Linked DNA regions of Macaca fascicularis. The main gene of each other region encodes a partner of the protein of the gene in region 5 in a complex. Links are inferred from orthologs where the notes say so. Each region holds a gene or a part of one and is shown on either strand. Other genes may lie near its edges. The genes, in order: LSM8, AAR2, SART1, LSM4 and SNRNP40.

Region 1 (3,995 bases), on a different chromosome or scaffold from region 5:
AGACATTCACAATCTAATTCCTGACTACATTTGATTTCAAACAGATCGGAATAACTTCCAGAATATAAAATTTTAACTATTTGGGAGTCATCTTGTAGGTATCTTGTGGGTATGCTCTAATTAAGAAATGCTTCCTTTTCCCAGGAAAACTGCTGACATTGCAAGAGTTATTCCAAAGCCACAATTCTTAAGAAAATACATGTTTAACCTAAATCATAAAGATATTTTGTAAAAAAGGGAAATCGCTCCTGCTGATGTTTTGTGTATAAATCTCTTTCTAACTTCAAGCTCTCTCAAGTTAGGGCAACACAGTAAATAAAGTGGGAACAGTATCACATTGGGAAATATCTGAAATGATACCTATGGCACTATAAGGAAACTGAGGCCCAGAAGAATTGAAGTGACCTGTGCAATGACACCAATACGTTAGCAGAGCCAAGATTAGAACCAAGTTTGGTGCCTTCCTGCATCAGTCCTTTCTTGGTGCTGAAGGAGCCTTTTATTTATTAATTTCACCCTGGAGAATTCCGGCAGACCATCCCGGCGTGGTAGAAGCGTGAACATTCGTTTTCTAAGGGATGGTCACACACCTTTTTCTATTTGCATTTAGTTTCTTTAAAAAGTAAAAACACCTCCATTTTGGACCACTTTTAGAGACAAAAGCAGAACATACGAACGTGCATTTCATTGTTGAGTTCTTAAGACGCTTACACCGTGTGGTTATAACGTGCGCAACTTTGTCCCGGCCAACTGGACTTATTTTTAGTGTTATTTTCGGCTCCTGCTGCAGAAAACTAGGGATTCAACTACCCGCACCCGCATTTCACACAACAGCGCTCGTCTACTCTCCTCCTTCACTCCTAATAAAAAACGCCTTATCCTGTTTCTTCCTGCCTGCTCTACCTCAACATTTTCACTTATTATCTTCCACCACACTGGGTTTTACTCGGATTGGAAACCCACTCTCCCCCAACTTCTCTCTCGTACCCCACCTTCGGGAAGCGTCCTCCTTTTTTCCGCCTCTCGTTCCCTTTGTCTTACACGGCTTCCGGAACACGGCCCAGAATTACAGCGAAAACACACTGCGCACGCGCACTCTCTCGTCAGAGCGGCGCTGCTTCTGTTTGGTTGGCTAGTTCGTCCCAATTTCCGAGTCAAAGGGCTGCGGAGCAGCAACTCTCACGATATTTGCGGCGGCCCGCAGACGCGAACCGCTGCCGAGTTCTGGCGCGCCCTTTCAGTTCTGCTTGTGGCCGGCACCACTGCGTTATCCGGAACTGCCGGTCCGAGCAGCATGACGTCCGCCTTGGAGAACTACATCAACCGTATCCTCAAGCTGGCCGCCGCGGGCGTGAGCCGGGGCCGCGGAGAGACCGCCGCTCGGGGATCGGTGGGAAGTTGGGAGGCCCGGCCGCGGCGGGATCCTGGGGGCGGGCGAGATGAGGACCCCGGAATGACCCAGAGTTCGGCGGCGGCGCCTAGAGCCTGCCAGCTGCTGCGGGCCCAGGGGTCCTTTCCATTTTGTCTACAAAAGCCAAATAAAAACCCAGTGTGATTTTTCCGAACTTTTCTGTCTTAAAAAAAATTACGCTCTTGATTCTTCCTTACTATTTCCCTAGGGCATAAGTGTTCAAGTTTGTAAATAAGATTAACAGTCGTCCTGGCTGCGACAACAGTTTTGCAAATCTGTGTACTTGTTTTATTCACATAATATGCTCATTAGTTCGAGGATAGCAGAAAGTTTAACGATGGTTCACAGACTGTTTCTGTCCCTTTACCACTTGAAGACCCTACCTGGTGGTGGAATGAAAAAAATGCTTGCTGTTGTAATGGATTATAGTGAGGAGCAAGTAACAACCCCACGGGAAGTCTTAAAATAGACTTTACAAGTGTTACCGTTTTAAAGTCTCAGAACAAAAACACTATGTTAAGTTCAGGTACAAACTGGGTGACAAAAATTAAATACCGAATGCTTTTAATGTTACAGGCATTGTTAGTACCTTGTGACACTGATTATATAGTTTATTTACTTTTGAATTACAGAAGCCTGCCCCGGAAGACAGTTTTTTAACATGCTTGAAAATCGTCCAACATCGATGAATTTAGTACTCATCCAGTTTTCATTTTAGATATAAACAGGCCCAAGAAACGAAATATCCTGTCCGAAATAATAGATTGGCAGCATTCCTAGTAGAAAAGTGTCAAAAATCCAGGATATTTTGAGATAGGATACACCGATCACATACAGAAAGAGGTTTTCTTTTCTATTTTTTCCTTTTTTTAGTCATGTAATTATCACAAAACTAAAACAAGCTTTTAAAAAATTTTTTTTCTTTCTTTTTTTGAGTCGAGGGTCTCACTGTGTTGCCCAGGCTGGAGTGCAGTGGCTTGATCATGGCTCAATGCAACCTTGAACTCCTGAGCTCAAGCTATCCTCCTGCCTCTGCCTCTGTCTCCTGAGTAGCTGGGACTATAGGTCACCAGGCCAGGGTAGTAGAGATGGGGGGGGTCTCACTGTGTTTCCCAAGCTAGTCTCACCTCAAGTGATCCTCCTGCCTTGGCGTCCCAAAATCTTTCAACGTTTTTATGTAGTGAACTTAGTGGCTGTGTTGAACACTTTTACCTAATTGTCATATTTGTTCTAATAATTTAAATCATTACCTTGCCAGAGTCTGTTTTCAATTTGCATTCCCTAAGAAACACTTTCCTTTATTCAGTTATCAGGAACTGTTGCCGTTATTACATCTGATGGGAGGATGATTGTGGTAAGTCTTCGGAATTTTCATTCTCTGCTTTCCTGTAGGTTTATTGGTTGCAAGTTTTATGTGAAACCTCTGATCTCTAATGCCTAGACAGCACATTACACCTGTAGTGCAGTTTTATTATAATTCAGCTCTTTATCACTTTGCTGTCAATCCACGTTTTCCTCACTCATAAACGTGGCGTGTTACCTACAAGGCTTCTAGGAGCTAGAGTTATAGATTCTGCCCTCAGAGAGCTCCTAGTCTGCAGACCTTCATTAAACTTACTTTTCTTCTTCCATTTTTATTTCCTTCCTCATTCGGCACCACATGAATCAGAATTTTTTGAAATTTTGCATATGCTTAGTAACTTTTTAATGATTTAGATACTATTAATATCTACATATCAACATTTAAGGCTTGTATACAATCTTAACATTCTTTGTTTTTAGGTTGTGTGACATGTCTTCTGTAGGACACATTATGATGATTGACTCTCTCTATATACACATATTTACGTAAAATTGGCTTGTTCCTTGAAGTTGTTTCTCCCTTGCTAATTTATGTCATATAACAAAGATAAAACGTTCCTATGGTGATACTTGTATTTGGAATTTGATCTGAGGAATTCATCTCAAGATTTTTGGGCACTTGATTATTTCTTCACTTATAATTCCTACTCCAAATGCTTTCAAAAGAATTTTAAGGCTACTAAACTTTTCTAACCCTACCTAGTTTCTTTAAATAATTTGATCCCTTATTTTTCCATTCTGCAGTTTTGCTTTCGTTTGTTCTTAGTGACTATTGTTAGTCAAAGTTCTAGCTTTGCCATTTACTAAATTTATATCGTGTGCCAGGTGCATATGTGTTACATTAATTAATGTACATACAACCTTGTGAAGAATAAGTACCCCTGTATTCTAGATTAGGAAACAAGTTCAGAGAAGGTGACTCACTTTCTCAGAGTCACAAGGGTAGCAGGTGACAGAACCAAACTGGGATTTAAATTTGGTTTGACATCAAAGCCAAGGCCAGTTGCCTGGCTTCTTTCTTAAGGAAGCAATCATGTTTTCTTAGGCACCTCACATTGTATTTTTTCAAATGTGGACAGTTTGACATATTTTAACCTCAACACTTCAAGAAGCCTATTGCTATTAATAGATGTTTGCATTATTTTTTATTTAGTGAAAACCTTACGTTTAAATTTTCTTATTTTTGTTAACAGGATAATAAACTGGGAAATTATTTTTAATT
Region 2 (3,514 bases), on a different chromosome or scaffold from region 5:
TATATCTTCATGCATTAGTATTTTCATGTAATAAGTAACTTTTGAAAGTCTGGCTTAAAAATGAATAGAAATCCTGTCTTTCTACCTCTTAAACATTTCAATTCTTCAAAATATATCTTGTGAAAAAGTCTGTTACAGGAATAACTTTGTTGGGTTGTTTTTTTTTTTTTTTTTTTTTTTTTTTGAGACAGGGCCTCACTTGGTGACATGGGCTGGAGTGCAGTGGCATGATCACAGCTCACTGCAGCTTCAACCTCCTGGGCTCAAGTGATCTCCCACCTCAGCCTCCTAAGTAGCTGGGACCACAGGTGTGTGCCACCACGCCCAGCTAATTATTTTTGGTAGAGATAGGGTCTCCCTGTGTTGCCCAAGCTTGTCTCAAACTCCTGAACTCAAGCAATCCTCCTCCATTGACCTCTCAAAGGGCTAGGACTATCCCTGCCACCACACCTGTCCAGGGATAATTTTGAATCTACATCACAGCTCTTTGAAATTATTTTTGATGTCATAATTAAATTTTAGACAAGGTCAGAAATGCACAAATTTAAATAAATGTCCTAAATGCAAAGAATAGGCTAATATTTAGTTTCACAAACCAAGTAAAGCCAGCTGAAGAAGCAAATCATTAACGTATATTACACAAAGAAAATTTGACTGTATTTGAAAATACTGGTCAGAGATCCAAAATATCTCAACCAGGTAGCTATTCACATACATCAAACTTAGTTCCATATGCTTAGGACAGGGAGCTAGTTTTTCCAGGTCTCTGGAAGTGGCAGAGATCAAACACTATGCATTTAAAGAGGTATTTGGTGTTGAGTGCATCTCTTCTTTTTATGGCCCACATGGACATATACCTCATTAAATTTCCAGCCACCTTTGAAGTAGAGAGAATGCCTGTGATGAGTGGCAGTAATTCTACAGTAACTTCCAGAGACCCCGTTACTTGCCCAGGGACAGTGGTGTCTGGATCATCAGGTCTCTTTGTTTGAGATGGGCATCTGATAGAAATTGGGAACATAATATTTTTTGAGTGCTACTTTGTGCCAGGTGTTATTCTAAATGCTTTACGTGTACTGTATCCATTCATTTAATCTTTGCTGCAACCCTCAAATAAGGAAATCCAGGTCTTAATAGATTGAGTAACTTGCCCAAGGTCACACAGCTGCTAAGTGGCAGAGCTAAGATTTGAATCTAGGCAGTTTGGCTCCAGAGCCCATGCTCTTAGCCACCAAGCTGCTCATAGAGATTAAATCACGGAGCCCTGTGATTAAGCAAACAAAAAATAATCTGGCTGGCATGCTGACCCTGGAATAAGTACTCAGGAATTTTTCTCTGGTGGGAGGTCCTAGAACTGTTCCCACCCAATAGAGAATCTGTTTTATCTTTCCATTGCCCACATTGTGAAGCATTGAAGTGCGGCCTTGGGCAAGCCCTTGACCTCATCTGTAAAATGAGGCAAATACCACCTTCCTGATCGCCTGTGGAGTTGGGCTGAGGGTTACATGGTGTAGTGCAGTATTTCTGTGACCCTGGAGCAGACCATCCGCATCAGAATCCCCTGGGGAGCTTGTCAGAGCTACAGATATGAAGGCCCCATCATCTCTCCTCAACCAGAACCTCTGAGGGGGAAGCTTGGGTAGCTTTACTTTTAACAGACTCTCAGTGATTCTGATGGGCAGCCAGGTTTGAGAGCCACTTGGCATAATATCCATGAACACATTTTGTAAACTTAAAATGCCAGGCAAATACTGGGAATACTTCTTCTCTTGCAGTCTGACTTTACAGAAATCCAAAGCCACAGGTTGGTTTCCCATGGCTTGAATTCATAGCGGTTCAGCAAACATTTGTTGAGTACCTGTTAGGTGCAAAATCCCATGCCAGGCTCTGCAGGAGTGACAAGGATAAAAAGTAATCTGTTGCTGAGGTCCAGTGGAATTGATGGCCTTGTGAACAGTGATGGAGAGTGTCATCTGGTTCTCCTCTCCCTCAGAATCACTTCTCCTCTCTGCACCTTTCAGGTGAACTCCAGTTTGCTTTTGTGTGCTTCCTGCTGGGGAATGTGTATGAGGCATTTGAGCATTGGAAGCGGCTCCTGAACCTCCTGTGCCGGTCAGAAGCAGCCATGGTGAAGCACCACACTCTCTACATCAACCTCATCTCCATCCTGTACCACCAGCTTGGTGAGATCCCCGCTGACTTCTTTGTAGACATTGTCTCCCAAGACAACTTCCTCACCAGCACCTTACAGGTGAGCAGTCTTTCTGACTGAGCTGATGCAGATGTGGGTCAGAATTGAGGCAACAGTATGTGTTTTGTTTCTTGCTATTCTTCCATGACCCAAAAATGTTTATATTTCAGTTTCCTAGTCTTGGGATATTTCCTGGTTTTCTCTCTCTTACTCAATTGTGTTTCTATGCCAGAAATTTTCTCTCTGTACCACGCTCACCCTATACCTCATCCCCAGTGTGCCTAAGTACAGTGGGGTACTTGGATTTGAATTCCTTCCACTGCTTTGGTTTACTCAGCTTAAAACAGCTTTTCTTTCTCCCTGTAGCCATGAATTGCTACAACCCAGTAAAGCAAAGTTTTGAAGTTTTTTATTCCCAGTGAAACATCTGCAGCTCCTTAGATCTCATTTAAGCATTAAAATAACTTTGATTTCCTGTTCAAACAAAATGTGCCAGTTTCTGCAGAGATTCTATGACAGAAAAAGTGAAATTTGCTTTTAACTTGGCAATTAAATTTTCATTATGAGTGGTAATTAGGAAAGAAGCTTCAAACAACTTACAATCTTCATCCTATGCTATTTCCTCCCTTTGCAAACAGATTAGTTTCCTTTATGTACTTGGGACAGCCTCTGTCACTCACATTGTGTAACTTTCTCAAGAATAGAAGAGGCAGAAGCTGCCAACTATCAGTTTCCATACTTTCCCTCCCATGAGCTTCTTTCTTCTCTCTGTGTGTAGTACCCCTATGAGGCCTGCTCCATATAAGGCAGCTTTTCACCAACCTTCCAATCCCACTCAGGGTAACAGAAGGGATGAATATTCATTAAATGTTGGGGCTGGGTGTGGTGGTTCATGGTTGTAATCCCAACACTTTGGGAGGTGAAGGCAGGAGGATCACTTGAGCCCAGGAATTAAAGACCAGCTTGGGCAATATAGTGAGACCCCATCTCTACAAAAATTTTAAAAATGGCTAGGTATGGTCATGCATACCTGTAGTCCTAGCTACTTGGGAGGCTGAGACAGGAGGATCACTTAGCCCAGGAGTTTGAGGCTATAGTGAGCAATGATCGTGATCGTGCCACTGCACTCCAGCCTGGGCAACAGAGTGAGACCCTGTTCACTCATTGAATCCCTTTGGAACCCTGTAAGATGGAGGTATTATTCCCACTTTACAAATGAGAACACTGAGAACGGTTAAATCATTTACTTGAAGTCATACAGCTGGCAGATGGAGGTCAGGATTTGTACCCAGGCCTGAGTCTTGGTTTCCTGCCTGTGCTTAT
Region 3 (3,514 bases), on a different chromosome or scaffold from region 5:
GGGACGAAGTGGGAGCAGGGAGGTGAAGGATTGTTCCTTCCTGTCCTGACCCCTTCTGGCCCCCTGAGCTGGAAGGGGGCAGGGTGAGTGGCTCCCTCCTCTCCCCACCAGCCATGGGCGGGCATAGCCTCACGTCTGGGCCCCCCTTCCAGAGGCGGGCACCAAGGAGGAGCCCGTGACAGCCGATGTCATCAATCCTATGGCCTTGCGACAGCGAGAGGAGCTGCGGGAGAAGCTGGCGGCTGCCAAGGAGAAGCGCCTGCTGAACCAAAAGCTGGGGTGAGGGGTCCTGGCCAGGGCAGGCAAGGGAAGGGCTGGGGAGGCCACCATCCTTGGCTGCCTTTTGAGTGGGGTTGGGAGCAGGAGCTGGGCTCCTGGAGCATCACTTTCTCCCCTCTTCAGGAAGATAAAGACCCTAGGAGAGGATGATCCCTGGCTGGATGACACTGCAGCCTGGATCGAGAGGAGCCGGCAGCTGCAGAAGGAGAAAGACCTGGCAGAGAAGAGGGTGAGCACCTGGGCAGCATGGGGTGGTTGCCCAGTGCTTTTGCTGGCCTGACTGGGCGTTGAGGCAGGGGGTCGACCCCAGAGAGGTGAGACGGGGTTCGGAGAGGGGATGGGCTGTGGTTGGTAGCATCTGCTTTGGATTCTCAGCAACTTTCCTGCAAGGCCTGCTCTTTTTGCACTCCGCTTGGTAGAGCCCTGAGTGTTTTCTGGTGGTGCTGAGTGGCCTGAGGTCCTAGGTCACCCCTCCCTGTCCCATAGGCAAAGTTACTGGAGGAGATGGACCAAGAGTTTGGTGTCAGCACTCTGGTAGAGGAGGAGTTCGGGCAGAGACGGCAGGTGAGGCTGCAGCAGCCGGGGTGGGTGGTGCAGGGCACACTGGCGGCCTTGATGCTGGAATCCCAAGGTTGGGCGCGTGGAGGGAGGTTCTTTACTCGCCTGATTCTTCTGTTAGGACCTGTACAGTGCCCGGGACCTGCAGGGCCTCACCGTGGAGCATGCCATTGATTCCTTCCGAGAAGGGGAGACCATGATCCTCACCCTTAAGGACAAAGGTGACGCGAGCTGGGTGCCTTGGGTCGGGGCACAGCCTCTGCTGAGTTGTGGACAAGTGTGAATGGCCACTGCTCTGTGCTGCCCGCAGGCGTGCTGCAGGAGGAGGAGGACGTGCTGGTGAACGTGAACCTGGTGGATAAGGAGCGGGCAGAGAAGAATGTGGAGCTGCGGAAGAAGAAGCCCGACTACCTGCCTTATGCCGAGGACGAGAGTGTGGACGACCTGGCGCAGGCACGGCCCAAGCAGGCTGGGCGGCGGGGGCTGGGGTGGAGAATGTCGGGAATAGGGGCTCTGAGGAGGTGGTGGCTCAGTGGCTTTTCAGGAGCCACCCTGGGTCCCAACCTGTACCTCTTACCTTGCAGCAAAAACCTCGCTCTATCCTGTCCAAGTACGACGAAGAGCTTGAGGGGGAGCAGCCGCATTCCTTCCGCTTGGAGCAGGGGGGCATGGCCGATGGCCTGCGGGAACGGGAGTTGGAGGAGATCCGGGCCAAGCTGCGGCTGCAGGCTCAGTCCCTGAGCACGGTGGGGCCCCGGCTGGCCTCTGAGTACCTCACACCCGAGGAGATGGTGAGCCCTCTTGCGCCTTGTACTTGGGGTCATGATTCTCCCTCCCCTTGGGGCTCCTGCGCTGCCCGCAGGCACTGGGAAGAGAGGGCAAGTATTTCTGTTCACAAAGCGCTTGGCCTCGTGGGCAAGCAGTAAATGGCAACCTGGGGAGGCACCAGGTGTTGACGGGTCAGGGCTGCTGAGCCAGATGGGCCCCAGTTGGTGTTTCTGCTCTGCCATACTGCCAGCTTGTGCCTTGGGTAAGCCATTTAACTGTGAGCCTGGGGTGCCCCATCTGGAGTGGCAGTGATAGGAGCCACCTCCTGAGGTTGCTGTGAGGATGAGTGACAGTGTGGGTGAGGGGTGACTGGAAAGGTGTGCGTGGATTCTGTCCGCAGAGTGACTGTGTGAACGTGAGGTAGTCAGCTGGTGTAGTAGGCGTCTTGCTCAGTGGGTAAGAGCAGGACTCTGGAGCCAGACTGCCCGGCTTTCCCACCTAGGAGCTGGGCGACCTTGGGGAAGGTACTTAACCTCTCTGTGCCCCAGTTTCCCTAATCACCAGTGGAAGGGAGATAGTAACCACCCCACGTGTTGCTCATGTGTGAGAAGTGCTCAGGACACTGGCTAGCACAGAAGAACACCAAAGAAGTGTTCATCCTCGCGGGCTTGTGGTGGCCTGCCTTTCCCCGCCCCGCCCCACGCCTCCCTCTTCCCCTCAGGTGGCCTTTAGAAGGACCAAGCGGAGGGTGAGGAAAATCCGCAAGAAGGAGAAGGAGGTCGTAGTGCGGGCGGATGACCTGTTGCCTCTCGGGGACCAGACTCAGGATGGGGACTTTGGTTCCAGGTGGGCTTGGACACCATGGTAGGGTGAGAGGGCTGGGCTGGGGTGTCCCGGGGGCCGGTGCTCACCAGAGAGGCCTCCTTCCCTCAGACTGCGGGGACGGGGTCGCCGCCGAGTGTCTGAGGTGGAGGAGGAGAAGGAGCCCGTGCCTCAGCCCCTGCCGTCGGATGACACCCGAGTGGAGAACATGGACATCAGTGATGAGGGTGAGAGCCTGGCCAGGAGGTGGGAGGGGGCAGGGACAGGAGCCCTGGGTTGGAGGAGATTGTCTGAGCAGGCATCCCCTGTGTATCCCCCAGAGGAAGGTGGAGCTCCACAGCCGGGGTCCCCGCAGGTGCTGGAGGAGGACGAGGCGGAGCTGGAGCTGCAGAAGCAGCTGGAGAAGGGACGCCGGCTGCGACAGTTACAGCAGCTGCAGCAGCTGCGAGACAGTGGCGAGAAGGTGAGGCTGGGCATGGGCAGGCCTGGGGCTACCAGTGCGTCAGCAGTCACCTGTCCTCACGAGCACATGTGTCATAGGCAACAGCCACATTCCTGTCTGAAGCCTCTTTTCCATTTGTTTTTTGTTTTCTGGGTTTTGTTTTTTTTTGAGACAAGTGTTTTGCTCTGTCGCCCAGGCTGGAGTGCAATGGCGTGGCCTCGGCTCACTGCAGCCTCCGCCTCCCTGGTTCAAGTGATTCTCATTCCTTAGCCTCCTGAGTGGCTGGGATTACAGGCACCCGCCACCACACCCGGCTAATTTTTGTATTTTTAGTAGAGACGGGGTTTCACCGTGTTGGCCAGGCTGGTCTCCAACTCCTGACCTCATGATCTGCCTGCCTCGGCCTCCAAAAATGCTAAGATTACAGGTGTGAGCCACTGCGACCAGCCCTGGTTAAAGTCATGTTTTCTGTTTAAAAGTCATGTTTTGCAAAAGTTTTTAGATGCCTGCTTTAGTAGGGGATCCTTTCCTGGCCTCTCTCTTCCTGTGCATGTTTGTTGAATGCCTGCTGTGAGTAGTGCATTGTTCTTGGGCCGAGAAGGTCATTGGTGAACAGGACAGCCACGGGGCCCTGGACTCAGAGAA
Region 4 (4,243 bases), on a different chromosome or scaffold from region 5:
GTTCGAGGCCAGCCTGGCCAACATGGTGAAACCCCGTCTCTACTAAAAATACAAAAATTAGCTGGGCATTGTGGCGTGTGCCTGTAATCCTAGCCACTCTGGTGGCTGAGGCAGGAGAATCCCTTAAACCCAGGACGGAGGGATTGCAGTGAGCTGAGATCCCACCACTGCACTGTAGTCTGGGTGATAGAATGAGACTCCATTTCAAAAAAAAAAAAAAAAAAAATAGGGTCTTTGCAGATGTAATTAAGGATCTTGCGATGACATTATCCTGAATTTATGGTGGGCTTAATAAGAGAAAGGCGTGTCCTTATAAGAAAACGGAGAGGCTGGGCTCGGTGGCTCACGCCTGTAATCCCAGCACTTTGGGAGGCAGAGGAGGGAGGATTGCTTGACCCCAAGAGTTCGAGACCAGCCTGGACAACATAGGGAGACCCTGTCTCTACAAAAAAAGAAAAAAAAAAGGAGAGAGTCGTTTGAGACTCAGAGACACACAGAGAAGGCCAAGTGACGACAGAGGCAGAAGGCGGAAGGCTGCATCTACAAGCCAAGAACTCCGAGGTTTCCCAGCAGCCACCAGAACCCAGGAGAGAAGCATAGGACACGCAGATTGTCCTCAGAGCCTCCAGAGGGAGCCAACCCTACTGACAACCTCATTTTATTATTCTGGTCTCCTGAATTATGAGAAAATCACGTTCTGTTGTTTTAAGCCTCCCAGTGTGTGGGCATTTGTTACAGCAGGCCCCAGGGAACTAATAGCATTCGCCTATTTACTTTGTTTACTGTCTGTCTCCCTAAGGGCCACGAATTTTGTGTACTGTTCATTTCTATGAGCAGAAGCAGGCACAGAATAGGTATTAAGTACTTAATATATGCCAGACGCTGTTTTAAGTGCTTTTACACGGTTTCATTCATTTCATCCTCATAGTAAGTAACGTTTTGGAGCAGACACTACTATTTACAGGGAGAAAACTGAGGCCCCGAGGGTCGTGGTCAGGATTCCAACCTACTAAATGATGTTCCCTGGATAATTACAGAATCAGAAAACTAGGAGTCCGAAGGGCGACACCAGGGACGTCCCAATCACCACGAAGCCTGGATTTCTCTCCCTCAACTGCAAAGGAAGTTACTGGCTTTGCCCACAGCGTGGAGCCCAGAAGACCGACGAAGGTTTCACCTGCGCACGCGTTTACCCACAATGCACCCCGCCCCGGCGCGCGTTGCTCCGCCCCCTTTTGTATTACAAGCCGCGGCACTTTACGGCTCTCTTCCTCGTTCCTCTGGCGGGAACACGGCCCGGCCCGCCCCTTTCGCCTAGCGGGCCCCGCCCTACTCCGCGTGGATTGGTTAACCGGCCTTCTAGCCCGGTGCTGACTGGCTCGCGTCTCTGCCACTTTCTTTCAGCCCAGTGGCGCGCGGCGCGGCGTGGCGAAGACCGCCGGGAGCGTGTGCAGCGGCGGCGGCGGAAGTGGCCGGCGAGCCCGGTCCCCGCCGGCACCATGGTGAGGGCAGAGCAACGGCGGGGTCTCACCGGGAGGCGGGAACCGCAGTCGTTAGGAGCCCTGCGGGCGGGCGCTGAGGGCTGGGTTGGCGCGGGGCGAACGTACGGTCCGAGCCTTGAGTCCCGTCCCCCGGCACAAGGCCGGGAAACTGATGCTGGAGACTGCAGGTGGTTCTACCACGTTCGTGTCTGGGATTTAGGGTTGCACGTACTCGTATCCACAGTACAGTGGCCTCGCCTTACTTAGTTTTCCCATTTTGCAGGTTGGGAAACTGAGGTTAAAAAAGTGGGGATCTGCCAAATGCAACAGAGAGTTTTTGGGCAGGGAAGGGGGTCCCTTACGCTTCGGACCCAGTCTGACCTCCCAGATTGAAACCTAGAATGCTGGGAAGTAGGGGGCCAGTCTGAGTTGTGAAACTTAGTTTTAGGAATTTCAGAGCTTGTAAGATGCTTAAAATGCTAGCAGCAGAGCCTCTTAGGCCTCTTGTTTTCTGGCTGAAAAGTAGGCCTGGTGCTGGGGTGTGGTGTTTCTCCTTGGTTCACAAAGCATGTCATTCCAGAGGAAGGGAGCGTTTTGAGCTAGGGGTGGGCAAAGTACATCCTCCCCGTACACAGAAGGAAAAATTGCAGCCCAGGTCTCTGCAGGGCCACATTGTTTATGATTCTGTAAGTTCTGGATCTGGGCTAGAAAGTGCCCGTGTCTCCCAGTGTGCAGATCAGAAAAGGAATCCAGAGCTGGGAGTTTCCTGGCTCATCAGCATCTGGCCCTTCTTTTTTCAATGAGAGAAACCAAGGCCCTTGTTGGGGATGTGACTTCCAGACTGTGAGACAGTGGGAGATTCAGTAACCAGGAGGGCCCCCCAGGGGTGGCTGCATCAGAACTGTGGATTAGTGAGAGAGCTCTCCCTAAATCCAGCTGGTCAGTGTGTAGCCACCCAACGGGTTCACCTTGCCTGCTTCCTAGACAGAGCCCATTTATCAAGACAGGGCAATTGCAATACAGAAAGAGTATTTCACACAGAGCCAGCTATGCAGGAGACTGGAGTTTTATTACTGCTGAAATCAGTCTCCCCTGAGCATTAGGGGATCCGAGTTTTTAAAGATAATTTGGCGGGTAGGAGCTCAGGAAGTGGGGAGTGCTGATTGGTTGGAGCTTCCTGAGGTTGGAGATGGAGTCATTGGCGGGGGGGGGGGGGGGGGGGGGGGGCGGGGGGGCGGGGGCGGGGGTTGAAGTGAGATTTTCTTGCTGTCTTCTGTTCCTGGGTGGGATTGCAGGACTGGTTGAGCCAAATTACTGGTCTGGGTGGTGTCAGCTGATCCACCAAGTACAGGGTCTGCAAAATATCTCAAACACTGATCTTAGATTTTATAATAGTGATGTTATCCCTAGGAGCAATTTGGGGAGGTTCAGACTCTTGCAGCCAGAGGCTGTATGACCCGTAAACAATAATTTCTAATCGTGCAGCTAATTTGTTAGTCCTACAAAGGCAGACTGGTCCCCAGGCAAGAAAAGGGTCTTTTCGGGAAAGGGCTATTACCAATTTTGTTTCAAACTATACACTAAATCCCTTCCCAAGGTTAGTTCGGCCTATGCCCAGGAATAAACAAGAACAGCTTAAAGGTTAGAAGCACGATGGAGTCGGTTAGGTCTGATCTCTTTTCGCTGTCATAATTTCCTCAGTTACAATTTTTGCAAAGGCGGTTTCAAGAGCAAGGATTCAGAGAGCCTGTCCCTCTGCCATGTACTTAGAGGGCAGAGTTGGCATGCAAGACTGGGCAGAGCTGGAAGGATCCATCCCTGTGTTAAGTTTTGTGGAAGCAGAATCTTTTTTTTTCTTCCAACTATATTCCCAGTGTGTAGAACGGTGCCTGGGCAAAGTGTGAACTCATTCATTCAGCCCCTTCCCACCTTCTGAACATCCAGAGTCCTGGCTATCCAGCCATTTCCTGGAGGAGTGGCCAAGAATGGACAAGGCATCATGGGATACACACTTCCAGTTCCCTGTGATCAGGGCAGGGCCAGAAGGAGTGGCCTGGGTTAGGAGCGGGGATGGGCAGTCCTGGACAGCTTCCTGAATTAGGAGGCACTGGATTAGGTCTTTGTGGATCTAGACCTGAGAACCAGATTCCAGATGCTGCAAGAAAGCCCACTAAACCTCCACCTCTCGGAGAGAGTGATTTTCCTGCCTCAGCCTCCCAAGTAGCTTGGGATCACAGGCATGCGCCACCACGCCTGGATAATTTGTGTATTTTCAGTAGAGATGGGGTTTCACCATGTTGGCTAGGCTAGTCTTGAACCCCAGACCTCAGGTGATCCACCCACCTCGGTGTGTCAAAGTGCTGGTATTACAGGTGTGAGCCACTGCACTCTGTACTTTTTTTTCTTTTTTGGAACTGAGCTCTCACTGTCGTCCAGGCTGGAGTGCAATGGCACAATCACTGCAGCCTCAACCTCACCGGCCCAAGTGATCCTCCCACCTGAGCCTCCCAAGTAGCTGGGACCACATGCGTCACTAAACCTGTCTAATTCTTACATTTTTTGTAGAGACAGAATCTTGCTGTGTTGCCCAAGCTGGTCTCATACTCCTGGGCTCAAGTGATCCTCCCACCTCAGCCTCCCAAAGTGCTGTGATTATAGGCGCAAGCCACTGTGCCAAGCCTCACCTGGCACTTTGATGTATCTTCTTTTAAGATTTTGAGGATCCACCCCTTCCTCTGACCTCTTTCTCCAACAGAGTTTGG
Region 5 (3,514 bases):
ATGCTGGGATTACAGGTGTGAGCTGTCACACCTGGCCTGTTTAGTGAATTTTTGAACTAATTTTGTAAAGTTTGTATTCTTTGTCCTGTGTTACCACTGAATTCTTTTTTTTTGTTAGCTTAGTGGTCAGCTAGTGAATGACAGAAGTTTCCTAAATTACCTACAACAACAAGAACAAAAGCTCTCCCAGTCTTTGCAGATTGTCTTTTGGTATGTTGGAGCCTGCCTTCAACTCCTTGCTGTGCAGTTTACATCTCTCCTTAGCTTTCACTTCCTGCTTGTGCAGAGCCTGAAGGTCAACCAGAGAGCTTATGGCCTTCTCAGATCTTTTCTAAGTATGTGCCCAGCCCTGGACATGCAAGTGGTCTAGATTGCCAGGGATGGGCCAGGCATGGTGGCTCATGCCTGTAATCTTAGCACTTTGGGAGGGCGAGGCAGACAGATCACTTGAGGCCAGGAGTGTGAGACCAGCCTGGTCAACATGGCGAAACCCTGTCTCTACTAAAAATACAAAAATTAGCTGGGTATAGTGGCACGCGCCTATAATCCCACCTACTCGGGAGGCTGAGACAGGAGAATTGCTTGAGCCTGTGAGGTGGAGGTTGCAGTGAGCCGAGATCGCACCACTGCACTCCGGCCTGGGTGACAGAGGGAGACTCTGTAGGTAGGTAGGTAGGTAGGTAGATAGATAGATAGATAGGTAGGTAGGTAGGTAGGTAGGTAGGTAGGTAGGTAGGTAGGTAGATAGATAGATAGATAGATAGATAGATAGATAGATAGATAGATAGATAAGATAAGATAGATAGATAAGATAGATAGCCAGGAATATGTCAGTGCTTTTCAAAACTCTTACTCCCCAAATTGTCTCCTTCCCCAGCCCTTCCTCCCAAGGTTTTTGGTTTGTATTTTTGCCCCAACTGTTTTTCCTTGCCCCCAGGCACCAGAGGCTAATAATATCCTTTCCTTTAAATGTTTTCTTTTTTTTTTTTTTTTTTTTTTTTTTTTTTTGAGACGGAGTCTTGCTCTGTCACCCAGGCTGGAGTGCTGTGGCCGGATCTCAGCTCACTGCAAGCTCCGCCTCCCGGGTTCCCGCCATTCTCCTGCCTCAGCCTCCCGAGTAGCTGGGACTACAGGCGCCCGCCACCTCGCCCGGCTAGTTTTTTTTTTTTTTTTTTTTTTTTGTATTTTTTAGTAGAGATGGGGTTTCACCGTGTTAGTCAGGATGGTCTCGATCTCCTGACCTCGTGATCCGCCCGTCTCGGCCTCCCAAAGTGCTGGGATTACAGGCTTGAGCCACCGCGCCCGGCCTAAATGTTTTCAAGGAAAGTTCCAAGTTAGACAAAATAAATGTAAGTCCTGGCCGGGCGCGGTGGCTCACGCCTGTAATCCCAGCACTTTGGGAGGCCGAGACAGGCGGATCACGAGGTCTGGAGATCGAGACCATCTTGGCTAACACGGTGAAACCCCGTCTCTACTAAAAGTACAAAAAACCAGCCGGGCGAGGTGGCGGGTGCCTGTAGTCCCAGCTACTCGGGAGGCTGAGGCAGGAGAATGGCGTAAACCCAGGAGGCGGAGCTTGTAGTGAGCCGAGTTGGCGCCACTGCACTCCAGCCTGGGCGACAGAGCAAAGACTCCGTCTCAAAAAAATAAATAAATAAATAAATAAATGTAAGTCCTTTGAGCTTATCCTTCAGGGAGCCACCAGACAAGTAAAAATAAACAATTTTTATTGTTTATTCTTTGACAATAAGAAATAGGCCCCCCTTTGCTTCCTCAGTACTAGGAAACCATACTGGGAATATGGGTTATCTTCAAAGCTGTTGCTGAGCGGGAGACAGAGCCAGCACAAGTTAAAACACTACAAAACCCTTTTACTGGGACTCAGGGGTTTTTTTGTTTCCTTTTTCCTCATTAAGGGTTTGCCTGGTTACTATAAACTTTTGATTAGTTATGAGAGTTCCGACAGTTGATTCTGACAGGTTTTTGCTGGTTCATTTGTTGTTTTGTGGAAGGACAAGCTTTTGTCATTGTTTATTATACTATTTTCACTGACGTACCCGCTCTCTATTTTTTTAAATGTGGGTTGCAGCCCACTAATGAATTAGTATCTACAGTTTGAAAAAATTGTCTGATATCCTTGTTGTCCTAAAAAATATATGAACCAAGTAATTAGTGGAATTCCATTCTAAGAGTATGTTGATTTAACTCTGTTTATTCACTTTAACAAAGAAGTCTGAAAATATAACTGAAGTTTTGTTTCACCAGCCTTCAAATGTCTTAGCAAAATTGAGGACACTGCTTACCATGTGTGTTATTAGGATATCCAGGAGTTAGTGAAATGGGATCCCAATTATAGATGTGTTCATGTTCACAAAGTCCTTGTACTTAGGGATATTTGTACTGTGCAGTTACTTCTTAGAATGATATTAATGATAGACCCTGTTGTCCTTTGCTTCAGCTTTGGGACATCCGGAAGAAAGCAGCCATCCAGACATTTCAGAACACGTACCAGGTGTTAGCTGTGACCTTCAATGACACAAGTGATCAGATTATTTCTGGTGGAATAGACAATGATATCAAGGTATGTTTGATGTTTATGATATATTTCCATTTCACCCATCTGCACTTAGAAACAAATTTTTTCAAACTTCTGAAATTGTGGTAGCTTTGCACTTAATACCAACTGAAAGGAAAATAGTAATTTGGAACTTATTTTCTTTTTCTCCTGTCTTCATTGACTTCCTAAATTAAAGGTTGCACTGCAGATCTTATAAATGCTGTCAGGGACCAGGCACTTAATGTGAAGTGTGAAGTCTCTGTAGGGGGACTATGTAAAAAATAAAGAGTGCATTTCCTTTTAAAGACATTCAGAATCTTTTTTTAACCATCTTAGTTTAATGGGAGCAGTGAATCAGTTTGTGATTCTGTATCCTCATCTCTCACTGTGTTTTTCTTTTTGACACTATGGAAAGGGAGTTTTCTAAGTTTCTCTAAGAATGAGAGAAGGTAATGATATTAAAGAGGCAATAGACCATATGGCAGTACAGTGTAGCTCAAACTTTCAAGTAATTGACTTGAGTTCTAATCCCAGTTTCACCATTTTCTAGTTTTGTGACTTCAACACCTTCTTTAAGCCTCTTTTTCTTGTGTGAATGCTGAGGGGGTAGTGATAACAAAAACTACCACATGGCATCTACCACATACCATTGTAGCGATTAAATGAGCCTGATTAGAGCACTTAGCAGAATTCCTGGACATAACAAGTGCCAGGAAATGTGTTATTTTGGTCCTGCACGGCTTCTGTCTTCCTTTCCTATTGGCTTCCTTGGGGATCTTAACGACTTTGACCTTACCTTCTGCTTTATAGTGAGAATAGTAACTGTCAGATAAATACTCAACTTTCTGTGTTGTCCTTTCCTAGAAGTTGTACTGTATTTCCATCCCTCGTTGTTTCCTTTGCTGTTACTTTGGATGAAATATCCTTGCTTTTGGCCAGGTGCGGTGGCTCACACCT

What was found.
Region 1: SNRNP40 (region 5) and LSM8 share a complex: the UniProt entries of both Homo sapiens proteins name them as parts of the U4/U6-U5 tri-snRNP complex. The link is inferred for Macaca fascicularis from reciprocal best matches to the Homo sapiens genes SNRNP40 and LSM8.
Region 2: SNRNP40 (region 5) and AAR2 share a complex: the UniProt entries of both Homo sapiens proteins name them as parts of the U5 snRNP complex. The link is inferred for Macaca fascicularis from reciprocal best matches to the Homo sapiens genes SNRNP40 and AAR2.
Region 3: SNRNP40 (region 5) and SART1 share a complex: the UniProt entries of both Homo sapiens proteins name them as parts of the U4/U6-U5 tri-snRNP complex. The link is inferred for Macaca fascicularis from reciprocal best matches to the Homo sapiens genes SNRNP40 and SART1.
Region 4: SNRNP40 (region 5) and LSM4 share a complex: the UniProt entries of both Homo sapiens proteins name them as parts of the U4/U6-U5 tri-snRNP complex. The link is inferred for Macaca fascicularis from reciprocal best matches to the Homo sapiens genes SNRNP40 and LSM4.

Annotation. Positions count from the first base shown.
Region 1 is NC_088377.1:159,620,932-159,624,926, forward strand, and holds the start of LSM8 (LSM8 homolog, U6 small nuclear RNA associated), read left to right. Parts: upstream 1-1,183; 5' UTR 1,184-1,294; coding exon 1,295-1,325; intron 1,326-2,724; coding exon 2,725-2,765; intron 2,766-3,995. UniProt on the Homo sapiens protein: Plays a role in pre-mRNA splicing as component of the U4/U6-U5 tri-snRNP complex that is involved in spliceosome assembly, and as component of the precatalytic spliceosome (spliceosome B complex).
Region 2 is NC_088384.1:92,328,596-92,332,109, forward strand, and holds part of AAR2 (protein AAR2 homolog), read left to right. Parts: intron 1-2,021; coding exon 2,022-2,251; intron 2,252-3,514. UniProt on the Homo sapiens protein: Component of the U5 snRNP complex that is required for spliceosome assembly and for pre-mRNA splicing.
Region 3 is NC_088388.1:8,430,006-8,433,519, reverse strand, and holds part of SART1 (U4/U6.U5 tri-snRNP-associated protein 1), read left to right. Parts: intron 1-111; exon of another isoform or gene 112-152; coding exon 153-279; intron 280-402; coding exon 403-508; intron 509-765; coding exon 766-843; intron 844-958; coding exon 959-1,058; intron 1,059-1,147; coding exon 1,148-1,290; intron 1,291-1,421; coding exon 1,422-1,628; intron 1,629-2,326; coding exon 2,327-2,451; intron 2,452-2,538; coding exon 2,539-2,654; intron 2,655-2,747; coding exon 2,748-2,890; intron 2,891-3,514. UniProt on the Homo sapiens protein: Plays a role in mRNA splicing as a component of the U4/U6-U5 tri-snRNP, one of the building blocks of the spliceosome. May also bind to DNA.
Region 4 is NC_088393.1:18,687,757-18,691,999, reverse strand, and holds the start of LSM4 (U6 snRNA-associated Sm-like protein LSm4), read left to right. Parts: upstream 1-1,440; 5' UTR 1,441-1,499; coding exon 1,500-1,502; intron 1,503-4,243. UniProt on the Homo sapiens protein: Plays a role in pre-mRNA splicing as component of the U4/U6-U5 tri-snRNP complex that is involved in spliceosome assembly, and as component of the precatalytic spliceosome (spliceosome B complex).
Region 5 is NC_088375.1:203,728,175-203,731,688, forward strand, and holds part of SNRNP40 (U5 small nuclear ribonucleoprotein 40 kDa protein), read left to right. Parts: intron 1-2,458; coding exon 2,459-2,581; intron 2,582-3,514. UniProt on the Homo sapiens protein: Required for pre-mRNA splicing as component of the activated spliceosome. Component of the U5 small nuclear ribonucleoprotein (snRNP) complex and the U4/U6-U5 tri-snRNP complex, building blocks of the spliceosome.